Rhinolophus ferrumequinum: one gene and its partners. The protein of the gene in region 2 interacts with the protein of the main gene of each other region in a biochemical or structural test. Links are inferred from orthologs where the notes say so. Each region holds a gene or a part of one and is shown on either strand. Other genes may lie near its edges.

Region 1 (10,207 bases), on a different chromosome or scaffold from region 2:
AGGCCCACTAGCATTTGACTGGGGACACGGGCCTCTGCGGCCGCCAGGCTGATTAACACGTGTGTGCCAATGGGGCTGATACACGCGACGGGTGAGGAACGTTGCTGGCGGAGTCGGGGTTCCTGGGGAGCTGTGCCAGTGAAGCAGCCTGGCACCCCCGAACCAGGCCGGTGATGGAGGACTGACTATAGAGAAGGGCCCGCGTGGGTCTGGACCACTGCGAGCCGCGGGGTCACAAATGGACAAAGTCTGGCAGCTCCTCACCCTTTCCTTCACCCACAACTCTCTTGGTTCCACGTTGTGAGAAACCCAACCCCAACGGGCTGCGTGAATATGGGAAAATACATAATTGGCTCCAGCATCCAGAAAGTTCCTAGTAATCTGGTCTTGAGCTTGATTGGATCCAGGAACTCAACGAATCAGAATCCTGCTTCCCCTCACCTTTGGCTCTGCTCCCCTGAGGAAGGACTTCCCTCCAAGGAAGGTCACCCTGAGTGGCAACATGGCCTCCTGGTCCGAGGCCCACTTCCTGGCAGCTTAGCAACACCAAAGGATTTTGATTGGCCCAGCTTGGGTCATGTGCCTACCCCTGAACCAATCACGTGGTTAGGAATGTGGTACTCTGATTGGCCAGGACCCCTACCCCATCAAAGTGCAGAGGGTGGTGCTTCAAGGAAAATGTGAGTCCCTGACCAGAAGGAACATACCAAGGCCTTCTCTCTCCAAGCCATCCCCCCACCCCACCCTCTAAGTCTTGCAGCTGTGCCTGTCTTCAGAAAACCCAAAGTGAGATTTAAGTGAAAGCTGGGGATATGGTGGTCAGACATGGATCAATGCCCTCCTGTGTCTTAGCCCACACTGTGGGGGTAGCCTATTGCTACATAACTGCCCCCCAACCTGGTCACACACCCCCACTCCTTGAAGTGTCTGCAAATTAGTCCCTGTTTCTGGCAACCCTGGGCTTAGCATAGAATCCATAAATGTCAGCTCATGGCTCTATCTTACACTAAGTTTAAAGGTCAAGTTTAATTTTCACTGGAGTGTTTTAACTGATCGCAGCCTCTGTCTAAAGAAGTATCGACTGGACTTACTCTCCAGCGTAAAGGGGGTTAGATCAGGGAGGGACCACCCATTGGTTAGCCAGTCTCTCCACCTTGGAGTCCACAGCAGTGTAAGCTTGATCTGAATGGTAATAAAGACTTGGGGAGCATAGATTGGGGTCCTTGACTCCCGCTGACCTGGCAGGCCTGTGCACGCAGATTTCCAGGGCTGAGGGAGGACAGGAGCCATGACTCCGGGGCCTTCCCACACTCGGGGGTCCTGCTCACCTCACCTGGCCCCCACCAACAGCTCACACTGGTGCAGCCAGTCTGGCCCCTCTTCTTCTGGGATTCCAGTCTGGAGCCGCACAAGAGCCCCTCCTTTGGCCCAGCCAGGCAGGTACAGTTGTCCAGCTGTGCCTGACAGCAGGGCCCCTGCCAGTTCCACAGCCTACGCCTTCCCTGACCAACCCTCTCCAGCAGCAGTGCTCCTTACCTTTCTGTTAGGTGTCTTTAAGGAGCTGGTAAAAGTTATGCATCTGCTGCCCCGGAAAGGGCACACAGTGGGCTGGCACTGTCTGTGGGCAGTTTCCTGGGCCCCTGAAAACTGATCCCAGGTTAAGGGATCCTATCTGGGAAGGACTTCCCACTGGCAACCCCCATGTGCTCACTTCTCCTTAACCCTGGTATCCTGGCTCCTGTCCTAAGCCTCCCACCATCATTGGTGCTAAACCTAAATTTCTTTATGGATAATAATTGTTAATCCTAGTGAACGCTTACTACTGGCTAGATACTGTTGCAAATGCATTATGGGCATTAATACAGGAACCCTGGAGGTTGGGATAATTTGAATCACCCCATTTTACAGATGAGGAAATTGAGGCACCAAGAAGCAGTTAAGGCTCTTTCCCAAAGCTGCTGCCTTCCCCACATAGCAGCTGGTTTACCACCTCTAGTCCCATCCACAGTCTCCCTCAAGGCTGAGCCCATGCATGGACACTCTGAACCTGTTGCAGGTGCATCATGAAATGAACCCAAACAGCCAAAGGTGAGCTGCCCCAGATGAGTGGCCATCTGTAACTTCGAAAGTCTCCAAGCCTTTGTGCAGTCTGTTTCCGCTGCCTTGCACATTTCTTTTCTATTGCCTCTGCCAAACTCATTCATCCTTCCCGCTTACATGCTGCTTCCTCCATGCAGCCTTCTTGGAAACCAAGAGGAGGTTGGATGCTCCCGCCCCCTACTCCATGTGAAGTCTTATCCCCCAGGATTTTCCTTATCAGTCTGTACTGCCGCTTACTTCCTCCCTTCCAGACTGTAAGCTCCCAAGTAAGCAGGGATTATTAAAGTCTTGCTTTACTTTGTTTTAATTCTTTTTTGAAAAACATTTAAATTGATTATTAAACTATAACAGCAAAGTACACAGATCGTAAGGGTATAGCTCGAGCCTACCTAAGCCAACTTGAGCAAGTCACCTCAGCAGCCTTGACCTCAGAGCCCCTGAAAGGTCAACAACCTGTTAGCAGTGTCTTTGTGGAGGTGCCACAACATACAGTCTTCAATAAGACCCAGGCTCTAACATCAAGAAGACAATCATGAGGGAGTGGGGGTCAGAGAGCAAAACTGAGACTGTACAGCAGGGAACACCTGGGAGTGCTTCCAGCCCTCTGCTACAGGCTTCTAGAAGTTGAGAACAGAAGGTACTTTCAAGTTACATTATTCCATAGCTGCCTCTCTCACCAGCCGGCAAGCTCTACAAGTTTTGGTCCATGTATGGTTTTCAGTCATTCATTCACAAATAGGATTGAAGTGTCTCCTTTCCTCCAGCCACTATGCCGATACCTGGGGCATACAGCCGGGAAGGAGACAGACAAGGTAGGGGGAGGGACAACGAACGAGGCAAAAACCAAGGAGCAGGAGACATGTGGTGGCAAGTGCTGGGAGGGACCTGCAGCAGGGCCATGGGGTGGAGAGAAGCTCCTGGGGAGAGCCGGGCGCTAGGTTAAATGGTCACTGCAGACCTTGAAGTCCTCAGGAAGGAGGAGAGCCCAAGGGGGCCAGAGCAGGTGACAACAGGCTCCAAGTCCCTGAGGTGAGAAAGGACAGAGGGTGGCCTGAGCTGTGAGGGGAGGGGTTGAAGGGGAGGTGTGACGGGCTGAGGGCCAGTTCATGTAGTGCCCTGGAGGTCAAGGCAGGGGCTGTGGATTTGATCCTCAGGCTGACCGCGAACACTCAGAAGGCTTTAGCTCCAGAGGGCCCCGTGGAGTCTGAGTCACAGAGGTCGTCTGATGCTCACATACATAGGTTTGCGGGGCAGGGGCACGCATGGAAGGGGCTTGACTGTTAGTCGAGAGAAGGAATGAATGAACGCACGCTTGCAGGCACACAAGCACGGAAAGACGGAGGGACGTGCGCCCAAGAATAAACCGCTGTTCCACAGGGGGCCCCAGACCCAGCGGCCCGCTGGAGGCCCTGGGTCTAGGCCCGGCGACCCGGCGCTGTGACCTTGGGCACATCCCGGCCCCGACTCAGGGCCCGGAGCCCTGCCTCTCAGGGCGGAGAGGACCTGCGAGGAGGGCCAGGGCGCGCGCACGGCAGGAGGACGAATGGTGGGACCGCGGCCCCAACCCTGGTCCGACTAGGCCGGACCGCGGCCGGGCCCGAACCCTCGCCGCCAGCCGTGTTTACATCCGCCCGGCGCCCGCCACGCGGCTTTTTGCCGCTCCAGCGCGGCCGGGCCCCGCCTCGGGCCCACCCTCCGCCCCGCTCGCCGCAGCCCTCCGCCGCGTCCGCCCGGCGCGCCCCACCCTCCGCCGCGCGCGCCGGCCCGCCTCCCGCGGCCCGCCCCGCGCAGGCCCTGTCACTGGGCCCCGCCCCCCGGCCCCGCCCCGCCCCCGCGGCCCGGCGCCTCTGCCGGCCTGCGCCGCGGCGGGCGGTCCCGAGGGCGGCGGCTGGGCGGGCCCGGAGCCGGCGGGGCGGGGCGGAGGGTGGCGGGAGGGCGCGAGGGCGGGCCGGGGGCCGGTTCCGCGCGCAGAGATTTTTAAATGTCCCGCTCTTCGCCGGGCGCAGGAGCAGCCGGCTCGACCGCCAGCGCTGTGTAGGGGGCAGGCGCGGATCCCGCCACCGCCGCGCGCTCGCCCGCCGCCGCCTCCCGCCTCCCGGCTTCCCGCTCGCCTCTGCCGCCTGCCTGCCTCCGGCCTCGGCGCGTGCCGCCTGCCTGTCGCGGACACGGCTTCGGGTAAGGGCCCGCCACGGGCTGCGGACGGCGCGGCGGGCGAGGACTCCCGGAGCGCCCGGGCCGGGCCGGGGTGAGGGTGGGGGTGGGGCGAGGCAGGGTCGCCGGGTGCCCGGAGGCGTCAGCGCGGGGTGCCTGGGCAGGGTGGCTCAGAGACGGGCTAGGAGGGGAGTGGAGGGGAGACCGAGGCAGCGCGGGCGCCGAGGGAGGCGATGGGCCGGCAAGGGTTTCCGGGGCGTCCAAGCCCCCCCACCCCGGGTTCGGGCCCGGTATCGCGGGCTGCTGGCGGCGCCGCGGGTGACAAGCCACCCCGGGCCCATCGGCCATTTTCCCGACCGGCCCGGGAGGCTCCCGCCGCCGCCCGCGCGGGAGGGGGAGGGGTGTCCGGGGCGGGCCGGCGGGCTCTGGTCCCCTCCGCCGGTCGTCCTCACCCCAATGCCTGCTTCGTGCCCCCCAGGCCTGAGGTGTGATTCCGCGCCCTGCGCCATGCCGAGGGAGAGGAGGGAGAGGTGAGTGGCCCGGCCACTGCGGGGAAGGGAAGGGTGTGCGGCGGTGGGGGAAGGGTGGGCCCTTCTCCGGGGACAACTCACCCTTAACCTCTGTGCCACCCCGGCTTTGCAGGGATGCCAAGGAGCCGGGCACCATGAAAGAGGAAAGCTGCACCGATGTCTCTGTTCGCTCCAGGAAGAGGAAGGCAAATGTGGCCGTTGTGAGTACAAAGGAGACAGGTGGGGGAGGATTGCCCCCTCATCTTACCTGGGTACCAGGCTGGGCTCTGCCCACATTATTGATGGAGGGGTACGGTGAGGGGTGGTCCGGTTTGCAGAAATCGCCCTACTCTAACCAATTTGCCCATTCCCTAACCGACTTTCTTTTTCTTCTCTCTTTTGTGTTTTTGTCTTTGGGTTGTTTGGTGTGTTTCCTTGGGGATGGTTTTATGTTAGTTTTTGCAAGATCCTGATGAAGAAATTGCCAAAATTGACAGGACTGTGAGAAGCCAGTGTGGCAGTCAGGTAGGTTCACTTGCTGACTGGGACTCAGTAGAGGGCCTCCTGCTTTTTCTGGGCCCGTGGGTCTCCTATTGCCTTGCCTCTTGGGGAAGGGTGTTTCCCTATGGCTGAGCACCACGCCTGTCAGTGGGCACTGACCTCTGCCAGTCTTGGGATTCTAGGAAGGTCCTGTGTTCCAAATATGTGCTGATGTCTGGAAGAACCAGAATGGACATCAAATAACTCAGTTCTCCCCTTTTGCCCTTGAGGAAACTGACACTCAGGAAGAAGTTAACCCCGAGCCCTGTGCAAAGCAGGGGTGCTGTCTATCCTACAGCCTTGTCTCTATTCTGGCAGGGGGGGGGGGTTGGGATGGGGGAGGGCTCCTGACACAGCTCTGTGGGTAACTGTGATAATGGGGGTTTGTGTGTGTTCATAAGAACGGCTTCTCCCCCACCCACATTTGTGTTTTTTTCCTCCTGGTGCTCAAGGACCTCCCTGACCCCTCCTACTGCCTTTAAGTCAGGTTTAAACCCGCCCTGCCCCCCCTTCTGGAAGTTTTTCCAGCCTCTCCAGCAATTACCTACAGTGTGGTCACTGCTGTCTGGGGCTCGACCTGGCCTCCGTCAGAGTATTAGTGGAACATTCTGTGTAATGATATGTGTGTTTCAACACTTTTTTGTTGACTATCTCATTTCTCCTGCCCCTCCTTCACGGACTTCCCGCCAAATTTCCTGCATGCTCATGATATCATTATAATATCAGAAGTTCCTGGCAGAAAAAGCGTGTATTATCTGTCTACCTCCAGAAATGACTGGAGACTGTAGTTACGGCTCCAGCAGGGAAAGCAGCCTCTCTCCAAACCGGCTGATTAGGCCTTCTGACCCGAGCACAGATAAAAGCTGAGTAGGAATAGAGCCTGGGCTGCACGCAGTGGTCCTGACCAGGTGGGCAGTGGGTGTGCATCAGCCGTGGCAGCTGAGCGTGGGAGAGGGAAGGGCTTCGAAGTACTGGGCCACACTGTGTGCCACTGCACGGAAGACCCTAGTAATTAGCATTTGTGGGGCTGATGATTTCCTTCTCTCTTAGAAGAAAAAATACGTCACTTTAGGAAAGGAAATAAGATAGTGCATCCCAAGTTCCTTCTTTTTCTCATTTTCAAACCAAGCAAGTTGATTTTTGTGGGTATGATAAAATGGACCTCTACTTTGTGAAATGCAAGATTGGTTATTTGCCCAGCTGTGTTTTGAATTGAAATTTCCAACTGAGGTGAAGCAAAGCTGTCCATGTTGAGTTCTTGGTGCTTTAGGTAGTTTCTGTTCTGACGGATCTCCCGAGTGGCACCTGGGCTGCTAAGATGGAGCTGTGGCGCAGTCCCTGGCCTGTGGAAAGGTGACAGTCGTGATATGTGAATAGCCAGGTTATTTCTCACTGGAAGGCGTCTTCATGGTTGTCCAGAGATTAATGACAACAGGTTTCTGCACGTTTTGTAGATTAGATAGCTTAAAAATTATCCACCCATTTATGGAGCAGTCGTCTTGATGCAGACTCATGAAGCCAGAAGTTTAGGGTAACACAGAGCCTTTCTGCCTGTTAACTACACAGAATGGCACCATTATCATAGTTCAGCCTAGTACAACAGCCTTCAGTGACTTGTAGCCATCATGCCAAGCTCCACGTAACTGCTTCATCAAGACCACAGGGAACCGTTGAGTCTTACCCTGGACCTGACTTAATGAAAAGAATACCCTTTTGTCTAAAGTCCACTTCATATATCCATTTTTTGCATGAGATGCAACTTTTTGTATTGAAGTGGAATCATGGACTTTCTGTTAGTTACTTCTCAGAACGTAATTTTGCATAAGGTAGTTGTATTAATTAAAAGTGGCATCAGGAGTCGGGGCAGTTAGGAATCGTCGTGATTGGTCTCTTGCTATTATCTCACTCCTCCCTAAAGTCTGATCTTGCTTCCTTTGAAACATGTACACACTCCAAGTTATAGGACACAGACTTATACAACGGCTCCTGAAAAGGCCAACTTTGGGAACCATGTGTCTGCTTGTGGGTTTGTGAGCTGCAGGCTGGAAACTGCTACCAGTTCGTCTCCAAAGGCCTGCTCTCAGCTCTCCAGCCGTCCAGCTGTAGAGGGTGGCACCCAGCTTCTGCCTTCAGAGCTAGAATTCATTCTTGAATGAAGAGCAACTAAAGCAGTTGTAACGTGACCCTTTTTGAGTCGAGGAAATGCTCCCAGCACACTGTGCTGGGACTGCAAGAGGAGGCTGCCGTCCAGCAGCTGTTGGCAAGAGCTGTCGTGGTTAATTTGCATGCCCAGTTCTGTGCAGGACGCTGGAGAAGGGCTCGGTCCTGCTTTGCTCTTCTCAGGACCCTGAAAGTGCTGTGGCTTCCTCTGAAAGGGGCCAGTGTGCTGTGACAGCCATCCTGTACCATGTTTTTCAGATAGATTTAGAGCCAAGTTTCCATGATCATTTATGGTCATCTCAGTTGTCTCTTCTCTAGTGAACATTAATGATTTCTCTGCTTTCAGAAAAAAAAAAAATGCCACGAGTGTCAGACTTTCAAAGTGCTTCCACGCTGGCAAGATTGTTATCTGCCATATCTTCAACAAAATCACTATTTTATAATTTACAAAATCAATCATATACAGACAACAGAAAAGTGGTTACCAGGGGGGCGAGGGGGGTGAAGGTAAAGGGGGTCAGATCCATGGAGATGGAAGGAGACTGGACTTTGGGTGGGGAGCTCACAGTGGCGTACTCAGATGTGTTATAAAACTGTACACCTGAAATTCATATAAAGTTAGTAACCAATGTCACCCCGATACATTTAATAAAAATAAATCAATCAGGCTTCTTTTTACACTAGGACAATAAACAGTAGCTTTAAAAAGAAAATTTCCTAAATGGCAAAATGACCTTGGTATTTTCCAGATACTGAAAGTTGAATAAAAGTAAGTATCTGGAATCTTTAAAAGAAAAGCCTTTTGGTCTATAAAGATGGTTTATTCACTTAGAGTTGAGTCTTACTCAGGTGTAGGGCTTCCGGGGCGGGATTCAGAGGTCTTCAGGGGTAGCTAAGCTCTGTCTCTGAAGTCGTCTTAGTGTTAGGTTCGTGCAAAAGTAATTGCGGTTTTTGCAATTTTTTTTTTTAACCTTTTAAACTGCAATTACTTTTGTACCAACCTGACAGAACCTGTGACCATTACTTGATTTGGTTTTAATGGGGCAGATGTTCTTTTTGTCTTGTTTTGAGTTAAGGAAAACAAAAAGTCCCAATTATGTAATGTATTTGGCTAGTCCTACAACCAAAGGAAGATGTCACATTTGATGTGACATTTTGTTTTAAAATGGGGAGACTTTAATCATAGGTGGCAATTTACATTTTTGATCTTTTATACTTATGAATGTGGAGTGCTTATGTAAATACTCCTGTTGGAAATTCCAGCCACTTTCAAAAAATTTTTATTTCTACTTGATAAAAACCAAATCTTTGAGTTGTGACTACGTAATCGCACAATACACTTCAGTAGTCATTCCCAGTGTCTTCCTGAGCTGCAAATGTATTTGTGTGTATATATATTTTTTGGTAATGTAAAAGCTGTTTGCATTTCATCTTCCCCCTCCTGCACCCATTTTGCTGCTCAAGCACCACGTATGAGAATGACATGGGAGCGATAAAATGCTGCTGACTTTGTAGTTTTCTTAGCTATTTCCCCCATGGGCTCCTAAGCTGTGACAGAAGGGAGTGAACGCTCACATGCAGGGGCCATTACTACGGCTCTTACTCATCCACGCCATCACCATCTTAATTTAGGCCAGAATATCTATTCAGGCCTGGGACTTGCTCTCCAGTGTGAAGACATGTTTTGAATTACTGGCTGCTCTACAAATCAATGAATGTAGAAAGAGCTGCTTTGCATCAAACGTGTTTCTCCTTTCCAGCCTTGGGACGGTGATCCAGTGTGTGAAAGCCCCTGCTCCCTGATCCCCACACCTGACAAAGAAGAGGATGAGCTGGTGTACCCGAACTCCACGCGCCAGCCTCACAGCGGCAGGCCTGCCCGAGCCTCTCCCCTGCCCGTGCTGAAGTACGCTGCTGCCCAGTGCCGCCCGTGCCCCCGCGGCCGCTGCTATGTGTGGCTGCACCTGACCCCTCTTTTGTTCTTGTAGCTGGGCAAATCGAGAGGAGGTCTGGAAAATCATGGTAAACAAGGAAAGGACGTACTTAAGGGACAAGCACTTTTTACAGCGGCACCCTCTCCTGCAGCCGAAAATGCGGGCCATTCTTCTGGACTGGCTGATGGAGGTGAGCCACTCTCCCTGTTAGTGGGAAGCGCTGACCCTTTCCGGAATCTTCTGTGCTGTCACGACCTCCTCGTGGGTTTGATCCCATTGGCACATTCTGAGTCTCTGAAGCTGTGGTACATATACTAGCATGATTGAACATGGCTTGCATTTGTGCTTCAAAGAATTTCTGGAGTTTCTTTGACCCTTAGATATTTTTAAATTGGCATCTAATGTTTCTCATCAGAGTTTCAACAGTTGCAAAGGTCTTTTCCAATTAACTGTAAAAATTGATATTTGATCTTTGTTGATTAAGTTGCTTTTAGACATACCCAGCGGAATGCAGGTAACAGCTTTTCAGTAGCCAATATTATAAGTTTTAAAAGTACATGAACAACAAATAGAAGAAAACGAAAAAAATGAACAAGCTTACCTTGAACAGAAATTGTACATTGTTCCTTTTTAACTAACAAAATGTATCAGTCAAATCTTTTATTGACCACCGTCGCACTTCTCTGAAATAATTGGTCAAAAGAACAAGTATTACAAATTGTGATCGATAATTGTTAATCATAGAAAAGTACTGTTGTGTGGGTCGTGCACCTCTTTCATGGGGGGACTGGGGGGGGACTCAGCAGTGCCTTG
Region 2 (10,207 bases):
ATTTGGGGGGATGAAGGGGTAAGGCTGAAGACAAAAACGCAGGGCACAAAGGGAATGTCCTCCGTCAGAATACGAGTAATCTTTGAGGTGGGGGAAGGAGCTTCAGGAAAAGATGCAACTATGAGAAAAGGCACAAAGTCACAACCAGCTGGTAGCAGAGTGGGAACTGAGACCCAGGGTCTGACTCTTTCTATTCTGGGATGTGCCCTCTTTCTACCCTTGGTGCTCTAAAATTCTGTGCTCGCCCTGTTCTGGGTACTTGATATTCTATAAGTTTAGGAAAGGAGAGAATTAAACCTGACTTGCTATGGAAAAAAAAAAAAAAATCAATCAGAGCTGGGAGGGAGGGGTGAAGGGGAGAGGGTGCAAAACAAAAGGTGCTGAGAGCTATCAGTGTGTCGGCTACCAGACGGAAGGAGCGATGGCCAAGCAAATGCACAGCCTCAGGAAGCAGCCAAGTACCCAGGGTTCCACTCAGTTAACCACAGGGCGGCAGTGCTTCTCGGGCCTCTGGGTCGGGGTGCCACAGCCTGAAACTGGCTGCTGTCCAAGCAGATGGGATACAAGTCTGTCTTCCTATAGCTGCTCTGGCGGATGGTATCCAGGCTTGTGATATGCTTAATTTAATTTTACTTGCCACATTGAATTCTCAAAACATCAACCATCTGTTTCCTGGATTCCTGACTACACTGCCGCCTGGTCTGTTTGCCCAGAGCGGAAGAGAAAGTCCAGAACAGGTCTTTCCACCGCTCGCCTCTTCTAAACCCTCCAAGGCTGCACACCAGCCCCGCACAGTAAGGGAAATAATTATCCAGCCCAAGGCCTCCAGGCTCCAACTACATGGCAGCAGTGAAACATACTTCTGAGCCATGAACGGGAGAAAGCTGGCTGGATTCACAAACCTGCTGTCATGACCCTAGGCCGTCACCATTTCCACGTATCCCTCAGGTACAAACCCAGCTGTCCACTCCGGTCACCTCCTCACTGCTCACACCTCTTACACTCCTCTGGAAAGAGCCTCTTATTGAAGAGTTTTCTGTGCATTACATCTTTGCACGATCGGTAACTCCTCTCATTGGACATATTTACTCCATATTTACTCCTCAGGTTTGCTTTTGCTAGCTTGTTTTTGAGTAGTAGCAACTCTTACACTTCCTTTCTGGGAAGCTACTACTACCTAACAGATTCTGCCATCTGAGATGCGTTTTCCTCCCTCCTCCCACAAATCATAAAGAGAAAGCACTAGACTATGCTAGCTCTTCGTATATGGGTTTTTTTCATTTTTTTGTTTTGTTTGTTTTTTGGGTAGGTGGGCAAAACTGAAAAAAGAAAAACATAGTAAAACAAAAAACAGAGCTCCTCAATGAAGCCCCTCAGCCTCAGAACCCTAGATTTCTGTGAGAGTCTGGCTTATGCACGGCTGTGGGAAGAGTAATGGAGAAACCATGAAAATTGGGATTTGGAGAAGAAGGTACAGTGTATAGACTCTATGACAGCAGGGTCTTTTGCCTGTTATGTTCCCTGCTGTCTTCCTAATCTCTAGAATGATGCTCAATAAATCTTTGCTTAATGAATAAATGAAAGGAAGCTACAGAGCAAACAATGATTCCTGGGAGGGTCCCATAAAGGTTCTAACAGAGCTGAGTTTTGGGAGCTGCAGGCTGAGATTCATGGGTGAGTCAGGACATGAATTTAGTTTGATCAGCAATGTTTTTGAAAGAATGGAATGGAACAGAATAGGAAATATCTTACTAAGGGGAAACATAGTTTAGTGATATTTCTGTTTCAGATACACACCAGGAATGCAATGCAAAATATATAACTTATTGGTTAAAACAAAAAAAAAGTGGAGGCAATGTTTGCCTGCGGGTGTTAAAGCTGATTCCCAGGCTCAAGGCAGGAACTTCGTGATCAGAATCTCAGGAATTTTGCACTTTGAACAAGTTCCCTTGGGGGTATCAGCATACTCTAAACTCTGGAGTCTCCAGTCTGAGAACCAGCGTAGGGTCTGGAATTTGAAGCAGTTTAATAGCCATGGAAGAGCTGATCCACAAATTAGTTCACCAGTGTTTTCATGGCCATCCTGTTTGGAGGGGGACGTGGGGAAGACAGGGGACCAGGACAGGCATTTCATGACCATGAATAAATGCAGGTCCTCTTACTGCCCATTGATGACCTTGCTACTGGCCATTTCTTCCCAACTCCACACACCCCAGGGGCCAATCAGACCTGTCCTGGTACAGTTGGCCACATAGTTTTTATCTTCCAAAATAAACAGATAAAAAGGATTTACTGGCCAGATGTGAGCCTGGCTTGGAGCCTGCAGGGAGAGACTGCTGAGTGAAGAACCAAGAAAAACTCACGGCCCAGGGCCACTGTCATCAGATCTCTATGTATAGCAGGTGTGGCCTGTTCTACCCTAATCCTGGCAGAGCTGTTAGCCACCTGTCCTGACAACTGCACACAAAACTCCCTGGAATGACGATCCAGTACACTGGAGTGGGCTCCTAAAGGCCCACTGGGAATCCTCTGTACCAGCTGTCTTCCTCCTGCATCCTGAATCCATCTCTGTGCCCCTCACCCACACCAACTAACCAGTCTCATTGCGTGTAATTCCACACACGTACAATGTATACTACCCTGTTTCCCCGAAAATAAGACCTAGCCGGACCACCAGCTCTAATGCGTCTTTTGGAGCAAACATTAATATAAGACCTGGTCTTATACTATATTATATTATATAAGACCCGATCTTATTTTACTATAAGATTTTACTACTTATTTTACTTATTTTACCTTGAACAAGCATATTAATGTTTGCTCCAAAAGATGCATTAGAGCCGGTGGTCCGGCTAGGTCTTATTTTCGGGGAAACACGGTAGTTTCCCTCCCTGCCTCTCTCTCTCTCTTAGGTAATAATGATAAAAACAAATCTCACAAGTTTTTCTTTCTCACTTTACATATATACCACCGGTGACAAAAAATGGTATACATATGACTTGTATTCATATTTTGTTATTGGTATATATTGAGTATTACAATTTTAATACAGTTGTTTCCTTTCTTAAAATGTGTATACATTTTTTGGCACCCTCCATATATTTGAAGTCAATTCTAACAATCTAGTCTCTGATTGGACCACTTCCAGATCCTTCTCCCTTTTCTCAGAGCCTCTGCTTTTGTTGAGTGGAAGGAGGAAGACTGTCCACATCCAGTGGGGATTCCCCTAGGAAACCCTCTGCACCTGGGAAGCTTAGGGTCACTTTGGCACAGGCGGTTCTCTCCCTCTGTCCTCCTATGGCACTCGCTGCCTGAACCACACATTGGCTGCTAGCTGCCATCTTTTGCTGTGAGTTTCTCTTTCCTCCTCAACTTGACTTGTAATTGCCTAGAAGACAGCAACCATCCGTTAATCTTGTCTTATTTCCACAGTGCCTTACTTAAAAAAAAAAAAGTCTTTTTTTATTTACAACTGTGTATGTGAATGCGGAAGGCCATACAGAAATCACACTCCTCGTTAAAAGCTTTCGGCATTGGACAAATTAACATCTGCTCGTTTAGCAGGAAGTGTCTTTTTATTACATTTGGTTGGTTAAACATCAAATTGCTAGTGCTGCATTCCAGACACTAAATAAAACAGAGACATTAAATTTTGAAGGAAAAAAAAAAAACTACACTAATAGGGTCAGGTTAACAATATTAATGACCAAAGAACAAGTGAAGTAACCTCCAAAATGGATGTCATACATTTTGTTGACCAAATTAAATGGATTTACTTACTGACTGTTATATACAGGAAGCATGGTAAGAGCTTTACATGCATTCTTTCATTTAATCTTCACAGCAACCTATGACGTGAGTATTATTTGTCCATTTCTCAAAGAAACTAAGGCACAGGGAGCTCAAATAACTTTCAAAGGCTGATAAACAGAATAAGGATTCAAACTCAGATTTGTCTGACTTCACCACAATTTTTTACTGCCTTTCTATTTAATCCCACTCCTGATATAGATTCCAAGATCATAGCTTGAAGATTCTCTTTCCTAAAGAAAGTATTGAAAAATGAAAAAAAAAAAAAAAGATTTTTTTTTTTTTAAAGCAAAGCAAGCAACCAAGCATCCCTTCTGCAAAGAAAGCTAGATGGGAGAATTTAGGAATATACTTATTTACCTTGGCTCTGCAAGACTTCCTTTTTATTTCTCTAATCTGTTTCTTCTTCTCTACCATCACCCACCCAATTCCAGTTTACACTCTGATTGCTCTTCAACAATTTCAACAGTCATGCAACTCTATCAGCTCCAATTTCAGAATCTATCCAGAACTCTATTAATGTAAGAATCTATCCAGAATCTGGCCACCCCCCTCTTTACAAGTCTCTATGCTTTTACCCTTGACCTCATACAGTTTAGTCTCCACACATCAGTGCATCTTTTAAAAGGTCACATCACAACTTTGCCCAGTATCACCTCTAGCCTGATCTCCCACTACTCTCCCCCTTGCTCACTTTTGAAGAATGGCTTCCTTGTTGTTCCTGAAGAAACATGACATGCTTCTGCCCCAGGGTCTTTGCACTGGCTGTCCTTAGGCTTAGGGCTCTGTTCTCCAAGATACTTGCATGGCACATTCCCTCGCCTTCCTTATGCCTTTGCCTAAAGCTCACTGTCCAAGCGAGGCTTTCCTTCAATACCCTGTTTAAAATTGCAATCCATCTTCCCACCCCAGGATTTCCAATCCCTCTTGGCTTGTTCAGTTTTTGTTTTTCACCATAACTAGCACTCATCACGTTCTAACATACCACATACCATATTTAGCAAGTTTATTATGTCCTCTCTAGAACAGAAGCTCCATAAGGGTAGGAATCTTTATGCTTTGCTCATTGCTCTTTCCTTAGCACCTTGAACAATGCCAAGCACATAGTATGTACTCAGCAAATACTTGCTGAATGAATGTCTTAAATGGCTTACCGGCAAGAAAAACTGATAACCTGAGATCAATGCAAAGCACTGTGTTTACCCTATGCTTTGATGATAATTAAGAGGGGAATGATATGGTGAGTTCTACATTTCAGTCAGTCCACTCCAGCTCTGGGGGATGGATCTAGGAAGGACAAGGCTGGAATAATGAGTTGATTCAAATATTCAGGGCAGTGATGATGAGAGCTTAGGAAATATTTAGGAGACAAGAGGGAAAAAATTCAATCATTGGTTGGATGTTGGGGGATGGCGGGAATATGACTGACCCTCAGGTTTCTGGGTTGGGTCACTGAACAAATAATGCTCTGTCTCCATTACAGAATGGAGACAGAGCATACCAGAAGAATCCCATTTGGGAGTGGACTTGGGGGGGGTTAAGTCTTAAAATTCCATTTAGTTTAACATTCACTTTAGCAGTCTTTTGACAGATCGTGATGGCAAAAAGCTCAACCAGGACTATAGAACAGCAGAATAAAAACAGAGTCCTACAAGATCATTGCTTGTGTTCCCATTTATCTGGCTTTTAGCTGGCTTTTGAGCCGGCAGATTCCTTTCTAAGGAAAAAGGCAGACTGTCTTCTCATGGGTTAAAATTTCACATAGGTTAAAAATCGATTGTGCAGTAGATGATAGTACATACCTAAGATTCCTACAGACTTCAGCGACAATGAATTGTTCCATTTCTTTCAGAATTAGGCATTTTTTAAAGGGCCCCAGCCTAAAGACCCCTGAACCAAGGCTTACCAGCAAAATAGTTCAACTAACCCCTTCTGTGACTGACAGTTTTACCCTTACCTGGAAAGTTCTCTCGATTTAGCTTGGGTCTGCGGACAATCACAAAGTCCTTGTCATTCCCTTTGCTCTTCAGCCGTTTACGTGGGGGGCTCTGCGGGTGACTCAGGTTTGAAAGAAGTTCCTGGGGGATGTTCTCACTGTCCACCTCCTCCTTCTCCAGGGTGGAGACCCCCATGCCTGACAGCAGTTCAGAAGTCTTGCTAGAATCCCATCCCCACGTGAAGCTGGTGGTAACGTTGCTACTCTGGTCAGGAATCTCCTGGAGGTGTTTCCTGTAGAAATGCACAATAGCCCCTGCTCCTTTCAGAAACACACCCATAATAACTGGTAGGCCTAAAGGAAACTGCAAGTTATGCAATGCAGAAAACTTTCACAGCAACTAACAGAATTGCATTCTTTACGTGCCGCAGGCAAGTTCCCAAGAATGAAAGATAAAATAACCGAACAAATCGAAAAGGCCTTTTGATTTACGATCATGCAGAAGGCCTCAGGAATTTCTTAAAGTGGAGGAAACAGACAAGCGAAGGAGGGAAATCATACAGCAATTCAAAACGGTAGCAGGAAAGCCCAATACAGTATCCATGGCCTAAATGAATTAAGACAGTCCATTCATGCCCTGCTGCTTTTTGTAATCGAGTTACCTGTGCATGGCGTCCACAGGTTCGGGAGTTTTAAATGCATGCATTAATTGCAGTTGCCAGCCTCCCGGATTCCCGCTTTGGCGCGCGGCGGTCCAAGGCTTGTGGCTCCGGCCCCCAGCAGCGAGACCCGCCAACTCTAGCAACGTTCTATCCCCGCCGCGCGCGCAGGGCTTGTCTACTTGATCTCCGCGGCTGCCTTCTGCGGCCCCGCTGCCTGCTGGGAATTGTAGTCTCTGCCGTGCCGCGTAGTCCGGCTGGCTCAACATTACTTCCTTCCCTTGCAGCTCTGCCAGCCTTCGAGATACCCACAATCCCCCGCGGTTGCGGGGTTGAACAGCCCAAGGTATAGGCGGGGAAGCGGAAGCGGGCGGCGCTTCGGCTGACTGGGACTTGTCATCCGTTTGACCGGGACCGGGTATTCCTTTCCCGGGAACCCGCAGGCCTTCTGGTGACCGCCACTACCATCGCCTCGGAGCGTGGGTCCCAGATCCTGGAGGCTGTGGCGGACGCGGAGTTTCCTGGTCATTCCAGACGCTGTCTGGGGAGATCGGACGGTGAGCCTCAAGGGGAGAGCGTGAAGCACTTTGGGGTCTGGGATCTGGGGCCGGGCGTAGGCGGAGACAGGACTACGAAAACCCCGAGCGGCCGCGGCCGCGGCGGCGGGGCCCACGTCCTCGGCAGCGGAGTGGAGGCGGTGGCCCAGCCCGCCGGCCAGGTGAGAGGCTGCGAGCCGCGAGCGTCGCACCTGCTCGCCTCTGCCCGGAAGCTGCGGCCCTTAATAGGACTGGGTCTGTGGACTGGATCCTTTCCTCATCTGTAAAATAGGCACGACGACCACAACGCTCGTTTCACAGGCTTGGAGTGAGGGTCAAATTAGATAACGCGTGTGCAAGCGTTTTGTAAATGAAAGCGCAGTGCGAACGAGAGGAGGTTGTTTAATTCTAGGGGAGCAGGAGAGCACAGTGATGCCTGTGTACCGTGGGAAAGCTGCACATCCCCTTGCAGCCTTGACAAGTCTCCTAAATGCTAGCACCGGCACGGATAAGGTACCTGTGTGTTTGCAAAGGGCTTTACAGTGCAATGTTAGGGCCACCAGCAAAGCCATTCTGTGGCTTTCGCTCTACCGCCTGCGTCCGGTTGCGCCGCGGTCCGAAAGGGAGCTGCCTTTAGTCTGTCTCCCCGGAGGAGAGTTTGGAAGGGAGGCGGTTAGAGTAGAGGGTGTGCCATATTCCAGGTAGGATGACCGTGCGAAATCCATTGTGCGAGCGATACTATGACCGTGACCCCGGGTAAACAGTGGAAGAGAGAAGGGGAATAAATTCCAACCCTAATAAAAATGGAAAAGATTTAAAAAGTTCACCAGTAAGCAGGCCAGCGTCACCACAAACATTACATCACTATGCTGTATGACACACCTTCTTACTTCTTTAACTGATATACTTTGTACTAGAATTAAACCTCCTTTGCCCGCGTATGTGCTTGTTCGGGGCTCGGTTCTTAGCTTGAAAAGTAAATACCGACTCTTGACAGAAAGGTATTCATGAACCTTTAGTTTGTTCTTGAAAGGAGGTGGAATTGTTGTGAAAAGGGATCTGTTCACAAATTCATCTGGATTGAAACTAGGTTAAGACTAACTAGAATGAATGTTCAGAATTCATTAAACTAGTGTTATATGGAAAATATTTTTAAATACAATATTCTGATTTTTTTCCGTAAACTTGTCTTTGTTACTTTGGCTAAGGAAAAAGCGGTTGACTTAGTTTGAAATCTACATCCTTTCACTTAAAATTGCAAGTCATTAGAGAAATTATTGTTAACAAAAAAAAAATAGTCTCCTTCAGGAAATTGAACAAGATGGAGCTTATAAACTAATGGAGGAGAAAGAATAAGTAAGACAAAACTATTTAAAATGCCATAATAAGAATAAACAAAAATTTGACATGAAAAGACCACTTTAAATAGAGCTGATAAGTGGGAAAGTCTAATAGGGTGATTCTAAATTTAAAGATGAGAAATATTCTTGTGCTACGATTTAACTATTAGTTGCCTGAGAGCTAGGGAACATTTTTAATTCTCAGAATATTTGAAATATCTGAATTGGTGGACATGAGGTCCTGTATAGGACTTCAGAGAGAGAGCCTGTCAACTTTGAAATTCAGTCTTCAAATTCTAGAATAGCCATTTCCCTAATAGTTTGCCCTGGTCACAGAAAAATTTTAGCTTGCCAAAATGGGAATACTTTTTTCTGCATTCCTTCTAATCATGGCTGTTCTCTTAATATAGTAAATAAAAGTTTAAATTGGTACATGTAATTTTGTTTAAGGAATTGTATCCATTGAAGACATAAGATTACTAGCTATGTAGAGATTGATGTCTGGTGTTTTCAAAAACTACATTGTGATTGCAACTGATACGGATTATTTTCCTGATTAATTGTATTCATTGAGTCTTACTCAGCACACCCATGTCCCATTTTAGTAAAAGAGGTATACCAAATTTCTAGAAGTAGAATTACTAGATCAGTATTTAGGGCAGATGAACTAATTTTTTAATGTCTGCAAATAACATTAAAGTGAGTAATTTCAGGTACTCTTTTTAAGTTTAGGATAGAATACGAAGTGACTTTGCAAATTGGGAAAGTGTTTATCATCCAAAGTGCATAGTTACAAGGTGGTCAATATTGTCGGCACAGGAGAGGCCAAAAAGCAGTGGAAATTACATTTGATTCTAAGCTGTATCTATATTCAGTAATATATTAGTATTTTTGAAAATCAAATATGACAAAAGAGATTCTATTTAAATAAAAGGGTGGTGTGCTTTTTTTCTTAGCTCCATAATAGCATGAGGTAAATCTTAAAAAAGATTCCTTTAGTTATTTTTTTTTAATGTTATTTAGCTTAGGGGAACAAAAGACCAAGAAGGGTTCTTTCCCAATTCTCATTTTATCTATGTTTTCTTTCCTACTTTTCCCGCATAGATTAGAGGCATACATTATCCTTAAGTCATGGCAGCCTGACCTGCAAGATAAAAAGGCTTGGTTAATTTCTGTATTAAACATGACTTTCTTAGCATTCTACCTTGATATATCTAAGGGAATAATTAATAGGAGAATGTTTGTAATTTGTTCACTATGAAACCTGAACAAGATAAACGATTTAAACAGTTGAAATTAAGAAAGTTTGTCTGGACTGTAGAAGAGACTGTAGTATCCTAATTGTGAGCTAGGCTCTGCAGGCAGGATGCCTGGGTTTGAATCCCAGCTCTGACCCTTTTTGTGCTATTTCTCCTTTGTTAAATAGGATACTAACAGTCCTTTATTACTGGGTTATGAGGTTTAATTCAGTAAAGTATGCTAGCACATCCTTGGAATCTAGTAAACGCACACCAAACATTAGCTATTCCTTTTTAAAAACAATCATTTTCTTGCTAGGAAGGATTCTAAGGATTATTCTCTAATTACCAAAATAAGTCTTACAATCTCTTTACCTGAAATCTTCCATTACAATTCCAGTTGTTTTCTTCTTTCCTGCTTATGTGGTTGCTACCTCTCCCTCTCATGCCTTGCCAAAGGTGAAAGTTTTTTTGTGTCCGTCTTTCGTCGGAAGGGCAGTCACACTGTACAGTTCAGTTCACCTGGTTGGTTTGCCAAAACAGCTCATTTTTTGAAGATGGATTCAAGAAAAGTTAACGACTTTTTCCACATTCTTAATGACCTTTCTTGTGGTGTTCTATCTGTATCCTAAGCTGAATTCTACCTGTACCTGAAATCTTTAAACATGAGAATAACGGTAATCTTCAG
Region 3 (10,207 bases), on a different chromosome or scaffold from region 2:
CCATTGCCTGGTCCCCAAAACATGTGCATGCCCCATTCATCTCTCCTCATCTTCAAATGCAGGACAAACACATGGCCTGCTAAGAGAACAGCTGCTAAGGAGGCTGTGCCCAATTTGTGGATCCTTTAATAATAAAGTTCAAATGTCAAGGATCTCTGAACCATACGATAGCCTGGAAAAGCAAGCTTCTTAAAATCTATTCATGTTAATTCTTACTTTGAATTTTTGTACTTTTCTCTGATTGACTGTTGTGCATGCTGTGGTGCTCTGAGGTAGGTCTGGTGAAGGTCCAGGAGACAAGGCTTCAGACTTTCCAGGGTATATCCAGTCTTTTGTACTAATGATTCAGGCTAGAGGAGGGAGAAGAAAACCGCTGAGTTGTTTTTAGCGGCAGACACTATTAAAATAGCACTGAGCTTGAGTTTTGTTGAATTTCAGTACTAACACCTCGAACTAAAAGATCTTCCAGTTTTCTCAAGCCATTCCATCTCTTTTATGCTGACTTTGATCAATTCTTACTACGTTCCCTGCTAGTAGCAGGTCATAAGGCCCGAATTCTTTAAGCATGCCTTTCAAATTCAATACCTGAGCTTTGTACCTAACAGTGTAGATAGTTGAACAGTTTTTCCAGGTCAGTACATCTAGACAACCATCAGCTGTACACGACAGTTACTAAACTTAATGTGGCACAAGCTTGTAAGTGGCAAGGTAGCTGTGAAGACATCGTAGTACATACGTACCCAACTTTGTCCCGTGACTGTGTAGAGGGCTAGATGAAAGGCTGCTCCAGCGATAACTGATGGCAAATACTTAAGGTATGGGTCAGCATCTATCAAACTTAACTCTCCCAAAAACTGGAATGAAAAGTAAATATACTTTTGATCTCAAGAGCTCTAGGAATTCAAATCTCAAATCCCTGCCTTCTGACCTAATTTTTCCCTCGCTGTATAGAAACCATAGGAAAAAATTCCCATAGCCTCATCTTTTAGCTATATCCATTAACTAGTGTTTTGTCCCATTGTCTTCCCGTATTTTCCTCCTTTTAATAACTTTTAAAACAACTCTTCTGGCTACCCTACCATTTCCCCAGACTTCATCCTCAGGTCACTACTAATGCTTTCCCAATTTCTATTACCTTTTGCCGATGGTAGGCTTTCTGCCATACTGCAGCATTAATCTGTCCCCGAAATACTAAATCCCTTGGCCAAAGCTATACAGAAACTAGGGCTTGCCCTTAATTATGACCTAAGAATCTTGATTCAACCAAATGAAAAGAACTTACCATTGCTAAACTTTCCACTTTGCAGTTTGCAGGCTGCTGGTGCAGAAAGTATTGGGTAAGAAACTGATTCACCGTCGGTGCTGCTAAGTCGAAAGCAAGGACTTTGAGCACTAGGTGCTCCATTCTCAGAACCTGTTTCTTGGTGTAGGTGTCATCTGTAATGTACACAAACTCTGCTACTTCTGGGGGGTAGATTTCTTCAAACTTTCTACAATGAATAAAGTTTCAAGCAATCAGTCCTAAAAGAGAAGCTCGTTTATCCCAATTCTGAAACCCAGAACAAATCCACAGAATACACAGAACGAGTCCAAAACCTGTTCTCCACCCATGGCCCGTTTCTACTGATAACTGGTAATTGACCATTTCTAGCAGAGACTGGGGACATGCTAATTAAAAGACCCAGATCAATAAAGGACGTTTGAGCTATTTCTCCCAGGGCAGTCAAAGGAAATAAATGAGGCACAAGACTTTCCAAGATGGGAACAATACAGAGTTCACCAAGTAACTAAAAATTTAGAAACTTTTCTTAGAAAAATAAACGTTTTATGTTTCAGTTTTAAAATTTAGTTTTCATGTTTTAATGGGGAGAAGATTTTGCTTATGTTCCAGAAAGCACTTTTTAATGGAAGGAACCACACTTTTCAACTTTGTACTCTAGTCCTGGCGTATTAAAATGTAGCCAGTCTCCATGCTCATTCAGCAAGGTACCCTGGAATCCAGACCTGGAAAATGTCCTAAATGAGAAGTTTCACCCACACCTGTCACCGCTGAAGTAGTCACTGACTCTCTGCCTTGTGTAATATTAAATGTGACACTGTTGAAAATCCCAATTTCTTCCCTACACAGAAAGGTACTGATCACTTTTCACCCAAGTTGACTTACGAGGCCAACAGCATAGCAGCAGTGCCCACAAGCTGAAGTTTTCCTCTCAACACAGACATGGATGAAAGGAACCTATCGATGTAGTTCACAGCCAAATGCAGCGTCTCATTCTGGAGTTTATATTCTTCTCCTACTTCAACTAACCAGTCCACGAGGATAGCCCTCATACTGTTGGTGATGTCTGGCTGTTTCTTCATGTAACCCACTTTAGGCTTACATTTAATCTGTTGAGAAAGTTACTTAGCATAGATTTAAACATTTCAGTTAGATTATTCTATCATTAACTATGCTGCTATATGCTAGAAACCTAAGTATTGCATTAGAGCAATTCATTGGCAGTTAAAAAACTTCAAAGCATTTCCCTCTCAATTTCATTTCATGACATTGATTAACAGTATGAAAAGTGGATTCAGAGAGCCTTTACCTCCATTTCCCTGAGGTATGTGTGAATGTCCTCGTGGTAATCTGGTACTTCATTAACACTCACTGGCTTTTCATCTTCCAGTACAATTGACATGTCCATAGCATGTGGTGACTCTGGGAGAATTCAAAAGTACGATTAAGTTCACTGTTTAATTTAAAAAGTCACTGCCCTTGTAGGAAGTCCCACACCACGAAAGCATATATTTCACGTGATGAAAAAGGGCTTCCCATGACAAAGTACAAAGAATATTTATTTCACTCCGGTTTTAGTATCTCTGTCTACTTAGCTTTATCTAACAAGAAAAAATACTGATAGGCCACAAACAGGTAAATAAATGTGAGGATCATGTATTATGTATGTTGAAGTATCATTCAACTTCCATGAGACAAGAACAGGTGACATGATGGTTCCGTTAGGACAGAGTTAAAGTCCAGGTTTTGAGATAACATAGGATTTGCCCTAAGAATTTGCAGATCCCAAAGCTCGACATATTCAAAGCACAACCTACAAATTAAGTGGAAGCAGGGCTAACAAGTGTATTAATGAGAAAATTCGGTTTTTAGGTTTATTATGGGCACTATAAACAAATTAACACTGTAATCAACAAGTGATTCACTTTTGTAATTTTAAGTTATCTTTTGAAGCAAAGAAGATCTATTCTTCTTTTCACTTCAAGGTTCACTTTGAGGCTAAAATTTGTTGCAAATTTTAAATAAAAATACACAAATTCTTTGAATTCCGAAAGACTTTCCTGCTCCTCCCAGACCCCCACTCATCAATAAAACTAAAAGACTAGATTCAGTGAGCTGTCCAGGGACTCGAGCCCTATGGTTAGGCAGCAGCACAAACTGCAGGCACAACTGTCGAAAGCAGCTACTCTGATGTGTGGTTAAGACAAAGAGCCACGGTTCAGCTGCTGACTCACAGGACAGTGTTCCTCTCTGGTATCACAGGATCGCTCATATGCTTTCACAAAACAAAACTTTAAAGCTCAAGAGATGTTAGTAGATATCACAATATGGAAAGCTGCATACCCATCTCTGAAGTGGTATGAACAAAGTGAATCTGATGAATACAATTGAAATCTATTCTCCCAACAGAGCAAACATTTCCAGGGTCAGATTAAAATCAATGAGCTCTAATTAAATTGATGAGACTGGCAGTGTACTGGAAGGAACACTGGTCAATTAGGATTTTATTTCTTTTTTGTAGGTCACTAGGTCATGTACTAGTTGTGAGGTCTGAGATAAAACACCCTTTCTAAACTTGTGACATTAAGCCTAACTCATGTAGTAAGGGTCAGGTAAGATGCCTTAAAATGCGAAATATCATTAACCCAACTTATCTAATAATTATGATTACATCGATTTGATACAGATGTTCATTAAAACTTACCAAAACTGCCCATCATGGGGTAATCAAGAGGTACCAGTGGTTTTCTTGGTTCAGGTAAAGTAAGAGCTGAATTAAACGCCAGGACATCTTCACACTCTGTTTTTTTAGATTCACCTGGCCTCTTTTGAGTCTCTTCTTCTGCTTCATCCACATGGATGGTAAATGCAGGCTGTTGACTGTTTGCTTTCCAGGGAGGAACAATAATATGCTCATCATTTACAGGAAGATCCTTAAGAGGTGCAGCCTAAAAAGAAACGGATACTGATTTTCAGCCTATTAAATGAAGTTTTGCTTTCTTCCCCTTCTGGGTCTCAGCCTCTGCTTTACTCCCAACTACTCTATCAGGAAAATTAAAGTTACTGCGGCAAAATCCAGGCAACGAACTTCGAATAGTCGAAGAAAAGGAATGTTCCAATGTGTCACAGGCATTTATGCAAAGGTTATAGAGCGTCATACCAAGTGGAATTATGAGAAACTAATCAAGGCCACAAGAGGGGTGGAGTGGCTGAAAGGTGACAAGTTTAGGAAAGAGATGGCAAAAATGCGTTGCTTCACCACTTTCACCCCAGGGTGGAGCAACAGAGCAAATCGGGTAAAATGGCGGAATTTAGCAAAAACAGAGTATTTATTATATCCTTTTCTAAGGTAGAAGTAACCTCTTAGCCGCGTGGGAAGGCGGCAGCAGGTCCAGGTCCTAGAGCCAGCCGGGGGTTTAAAAACTATGAGAAAGGCACGGAGGCGGGCAAAGACCACAGTCATGCTGTAGAGCTTGGTTTGACCCCATTATCTACAGAAAAATACCCCCAATCGAGAGTAGACAGGCAGCACAATGCAGTTGATGGCCAGGAAAGTAATGGGAGAACTACGCCGGTGGCATCCCACACGCCACAAAACCAGAGATCGAGGGGATTGCAGGCCCAGGCCTCCCTAACAAAAAGCCCAGAGGATGCTCTCGCCCCTCTCCTCTGCCCGCTAAACCTTTGCAAAACTAACCCTCGGCCCACCCTCCTGCAGATATCGCTCTTCTCTTTACCCGTCTCGTCTTCGGTTTCTGCGGCGGCGCCGGACCCCGCTGGTTCCCGGCCTTCAGTACAGCCAGCCCGGCCCGGGTGCGGGGCTGCTGGGCGGGCGACGCCTTCTCGGGGTTGATGTTCTCCTGGTCCTCTTGGGGCGCCGTCTGCTGCAATGTTAGCAGCGCCGAGCCCGCCTCGCGGGCCGCAGAAGTGCCCAACATCACTGCTCCCAAGGACACGGCGGGATCAGCCTGCAGCGCCAAGCAGCGTGCACTCGGTACCGCCGTCCGGCCGCGCCAAGCAGTGCTCCAGCCGTAGCCGCCTGCCGCAGCCCGGGCCAGCCCGCCCGCGCACCCACCCACTCGGATCGCTGAGAACCGAGGAGGCTATGAAAGGCGCAGGCTGGCACCGCCGGGCGTGGAGAGCCTAGGACACCACCGAGACCAAGCGAGCAGCCCGCCGGAGAGGCGGCTGTTCATGCAGTTCAAGTATCCCGCGACTATTGAAATGAGCCAATGATCAAGGCCGGGGGCCCGTGACGTCACTCGGGGCGACGCGTCGCAAGCGAGTGAAGGCGGCCGCGCAGGCGACCGAGCAGGGGCTGGGCGGGGCAATGTCGGACGGCGGCGGGAGGAAAAACGCCTGCGCCGGGCGGGAGGCGGGGCCTGGCTTTACCGTGACTTTAAATGAAGCCACGGGGCGGTCCCTGGGCTCAGGGCTGCCCCTAGGATTAACCAGTGAAACCTGAGCCGTGATTGGTGGGCCGCCCCAGCCTTTAGCCCAGGGACCTCCAGGCTTTGACTGACTTGATTCCCAAAGTGTAAAATCTAACTGGTCTGGTAGTCTTGGTCAAGGTTATTCAATGTCTCCGAATCTGTTTTCTTATCTGCTCATTGTTAATATCTACACGTCATACTGTTGTCGTTAGGATTAAATTATATGCATAAATTATTTAACACGCTGCTCATGTAATAACATGTAATACATGGCAGATTATGTCATCTACCATTTAGATGCTTTTTTATTGTTCCTAATGAAGATGCAATTAATTTGAGGTGCCACCGTGAACTACTGTTGATACATATAACAAATAGTAATTACTACAAGAAATTCAACTAGTCATCAGTTCTGATCTATTTTAACCCACGATGTAGCAGCCAACAAAAAGCACCAGTGAAATTCTAGTGACATATTTATGTGTTCCATTTAGAAAAGGTTGTTTGAATATAGTAGAATATGTGACCTTATTAAAATAAAACTCTTAGTGATAAGTGCCTTTAACAGATTTTCACATTTAATATTCAAGGCTGTACATAACTAATAAATATAATGGTATATAATTAAGCACGATTGTTTTCTGACAAATTCATGAGTGTGTCCTTCTTAAAAACATAGAGAATAGCTGATTTTCCATTATAATCTTTATGCCATTTTAAAGTAAACTTTGAATACAATATTCCTCTGAGTATGAATAAACATGAATTAAGATTAATGAATAACACTTCTGTAGCCTTAAAGTCATACTTCCTTTCATACATGATAAAAAGGAAATGAGTGGATAGTAGTGCAGGAAAATCTAAGAAGCCATCACTATTTGTGCACTATTCACATGCACACTGGTCTAGCTCTATTTGTTACAGCACATGGAATTCAAGTCCCCCTCACCCCCAATCGGTGCGAGCTCTGCTTGTTTCTTTGACCACAATTAATAGCATTGAGCCAACTTAAGCACCTTACAAACTGAGCACTGGTCACGATGCTCATTACCAAGCAAGAGTGAAATCAACTGCAAGTCAATCTCTACTCCTAGGAAAAATAACTGGTAGGTTATTTCCACTGGCTGATAGCATATATGGTAACCAGGACACAAACCAGGCACTAGTATGTGGGTTCTCGTCCCAGCTTTACAAAATAAGAGCAGTCTTCTTCACTTAACCTCAGTGAGAATCAGTTTTCTTATTTGACAAAATAATACAGTTAAGATCAAAAGAGGTAAACGAATGCAAATACATTTTGAAAACTGTAAAGCAGTTTATATATATATAATGTGTGGGTAGAGCTTGTGAAATATTTGAATGTATTTTTATTTTCCAAATATTATTTATCATCATAAAAGTTAAAACATTCACTTGCAAAAAATTCATTAGGATACCTTATAATCATTCCACTTGTATTTTAAAAATAAAAATGCTCTCTATTTTTAAAAAGTTGCATTTGTCAAAAGAAATAGCATTACTAAAAAAAAGTTGTATCTCAAATATTTTTAGAAAATATTTAAAAATATTTGAAATGAAAGTATATATAGTTAGCTTTTACTTTTAAACAGACAACTTCTCTGGAACTTTACCTGGTTTATATTTCATGCAGCATCAAAGAAAGCAATCAATGCATTTTGGTCATAACTGTCCAGAATCTCCAGTAAAAGAGGAACTTTGGTTTTCACATTGGTGCCTTTAAACTTGAACTTATCTATGAAGAGATCGGTGATCATGCCTATAAAAAAAAATGTTAATTTCCTGTCATTGATTAGTTCTAATTAATGACATAGTACTTAATAAAAGTGAATGATTGCTTGAGACTCTATTTCTAAGCACCTGTAATTCCATTATTTATACACAAACCTGAAAGGATTGATGCTTTAAAAAATATTTATTTTGGGAGAATTTTAAAGGCAAGTTTCAAAATATAAATCAGTTGGCTAATAACCCTCTTAACAATTGGTTACAAGCTATTAATTCAGACAAACACTGTCCAGTCTTGAACTGCTCTCGGTGTATTTAACATCACAGCAAAAGGTTTGTTTTATCCATCAAGCTGACCATTTCAACATACTGTAGAAATTCTGTTCTTCACAAGTTTATTTATATTAAAATATTCCATCAATATGTTGACCATTCTTGGGATTTGACTTCCTAGGTTCAAAGATCTGGGCAAATTATTTCACCTTTAAGTTCTCTCATATGTACAATGGAAACGATTCAAGCTGTCAATCCATTTACCCAAAACCCTGGGTGGGAGGTATGTTTCAGAGTTTTTCAGTTTAGGAAGATAATAAAAAGAATATAGCACATATGGTATAATTCTGAAGGGGAGTGAATGACAGCATTTGATAACAAAACATAGTAATGTTTCTGCAACAAAATATATGCATAAACAATCCCACTAAGTGGAATAAAAAAGACTATAAATAATTTCATGTCAGTTTAAGTGAGATTTTGTCATTAAATTAATTCAGATCAAGTCAGATTTGATTTATGACTCACTTATCAAGCCAAGTGATTTACGAAAAACAGCTTTGTTTTTCAAAGTTTTCTGGATTTTGGAAGTGGTGATAAGAGACAGTGGGTCTGCACCACCCATCTTCTAGGCTGCTATAAGGATAAAAAACCATGTGCTTTCCATATAGTAAATACTAAGATATTAGATATTATTATTACAGTTTGTGAGCAAGTCCCTCGATGTAATAAAAGAAATTCATCAGGTAGGCTTAAGGATAAATGTAGATTGATGACACTAATTGACTCTATAGAAGACTTGACATAGTGCAAAAAGCACGCATTTTGGGGTGAGGAGGTTCTGCAGGCTTTGCCTCTACTTATCTATGCGACAACAAATTCTTTACTCTCAGATTTCAGTTAAAAAGTGTAAAAAATGGAGGTAACACCATCTACCTTGCAGAGCTTTTTTTAAGGATTAAGTATCCCACCTGATTATGAAGATGTTATAAATAAACAAGTGTGCTATGTACAGTAGGTCTTATGTAAAGATTGCAAAAAATAAAGTTTTTCTTAAGCTGGTCCTTCCTTTCCTCTTGCTCTCGTTCTTTTTCAGTATAATTTGTGAAATACCCAACTTCTACCACCAAAGCAAAATGAGTTTTTCGTTTTTTTGCTTTTTTTTTTAAAGGAGGGTGCAGCTCACAGCAGCCCATGCAGGGACCGAACCAGCAACCTTGGTGTTATCAGCACCATGCTCTAACCAACTGAGCTAACCAGCCACCCCACAAAATGAGTTTTGGACTGTAAACTGACATGGTATATATATATCCCTTATTAAATTTTGCCTAAAAATATATTAAATGCTGCATTTTGATATTTCACAATAGCAAAAAAACCTAAAAATTATTTGTGTAAAATATAGCCTAAATTTTAATGCTTCATAGATTATAGTCATTTCACACCAGGTTTCTTCATGTATATAACCCCACACTGCATTATACTTATTTCACTTAATTTTACTTGCATTTTAACAAATAAAGCTACTAAATATTAAAACTAACTTGACAAAATACATATTCTAAGCAACAAATTGGCTGTCACAGGTTCATGATGCTGTAATCTTTGCCTGTCTCCTCTGCCCAACTTCTCTCACATGATCCTTTACAAACAGCCAGTAAGAAAGAAATATGGCAAGGTATTCTAGAATAGTACACTAACCATAGAGTCTTTCAAGATGTGCAGGTTGCTTTTTGTATTCTTCCTGTAGGTGATCTGCCTCTTCTAAAATACAGCGATATTCTGGTATCAGAAAGTTTGTATTTCCCTCATGAACCTGCAATTCCTTGTTTAAAATTAAAAACAGAAGCAATTTAATGCTCAAAATTCAATCCAGTATAACTTTAAAGTCTTTAAAATTTTAGAAATCCCATCACAATAAAATAATGATCATGAGTCCATGACACATATACTTACTTTTAAAGCATCAATTAACTGAACTTTCTTAGCCAAAAGCAACTGGTACTCCAGCTTTGGGTGGATTAGCTTTAAAGTGTGTTTGACTGATACTTCATTTATCTCTAGAAGAAGTTGAGCCAGGCATAATTAGAAAGTAATTTTGATCAGAAACATTCTCACTGTAATAACAACAATCAAAAAAATACCCAGAAAAAAATGATTCATTTTTCTTTTTTTACCGTATGAGATGTTAAGGTTAATTTTCCTCTTTGTAGCTTCTTTAGAAAGCACATCTTTTAGGATGGATATAGTAGAAATGTTGTCAGATTTAAAAACTCCTTCTCCTTTTCTATAAAATTAATATATATATTTTAAAGAACAGCTTTAGGACGAAATACATCCAGTAAATACATATTTTGTAACTAGTAATTAGTGTTATTTCATTTGATTTTAGATTTCTTTATACACACATCTCATTAATATAAAGCATATTAAATGTATAACCTTTACTGTTGTATTAATTTAAATTCTGAACATA

Evidence for each region.
Region 1: the proteins of SKP2 (region 2) and CCNE1 form a complex in vitro, tested with the Homo sapiens proteins (2 studies listed by BioGRID, with this or other methods). The link is inferred for Rhinolophus ferrumequinum from reciprocal best matches to the Homo sapiens genes SKP2 and CCNE1.
Region 3: the proteins of SKP2 (region 2) and CCNA2 are reported together in a solved structure, tested with the Homo sapiens proteins (2 studies listed by BioGRID, with this or other methods). The link is inferred for Rhinolophus ferrumequinum from reciprocal best matches to the Homo sapiens genes SKP2 and CCNA2.

What each region holds. Positions count from the first base shown.
Region 1 is NC_046298.1:1,955,478-1,965,684, reverse strand, and holds the start of CCNE1 (G1/S-specific cyclin-E1), read left to right. Parts: upstream 1-4,106; 5' UTR 4,107-4,275; intron 4,276-4,729; 5' UTR 4,730-4,758; coding exon 4,759-4,781; intron 4,782-4,893; coding exon 4,894-4,981; intron 4,982-5,216; coding exon 5,217-5,285; intron 5,286-9,220; coding exon 9,221-9,366; intron 9,367-9,448; coding exon 9,449-9,584; intron 9,585-10,207. UniProt on the Homo sapiens protein: Essential for the control of the cell cycle at the G1/S (start) transition.
Region 2 is NC_046290.1:23,649,967-23,660,173, reverse strand, and holds the start of SKP2 (S-phase kinase-associated protein 2), read right to left. Parts: upstream 6,603-10,207; 5' UTR 6,453-6,602; coding exon 6,409-6,452; intron 6,040-6,408; coding exon 5,768-6,039; intron 1-5,767. UniProt on the Homo sapiens protein: Substrate recognition component of a SCF (SKP1-CUL1-F-box protein) E3 ubiquitin-protein ligase complex which mediates the ubiquitination and subsequent proteasomal degradation of target proteins involved in cell cycle progression, signal transduction and transcription.
Region 3 is NC_046301.1:4,676,605-4,686,811, forward strand, and holds the start of CCNA2 (cyclin-A2), read right to left. Parts: upstream 5,485-10,207; 5' UTR 5,218-5,484; coding exon 5,017-5,217; intron 4,228-5,016; coding exon 3,984-4,227; intron 2,702-3,983; coding exon 2,589-2,701; intron 2,389-2,588; coding exon 2,165-2,388; intron 1,491-2,164; coding exon 1,283-1,490; intron 855-1,282; coding exon 741-854; intron 351-740; coding exon 217-350; intron 1-216. Other genes in the region: BBS7 (Bardet-Biedl syndrome 7 protein), read right to left, coding at 7,356-7,489, 9,433-9,556, 9,688-9,791, 9,909-10,018. UniProt on the Homo sapiens protein: Cyclin which controls both the G1/S and the G2/M transition phases of the cell cycle. Functions through the formation of specific serine/threonine protein kinase holoenzyme complexes with the cyclin-dependent protein kinases CDK1 or CDK2.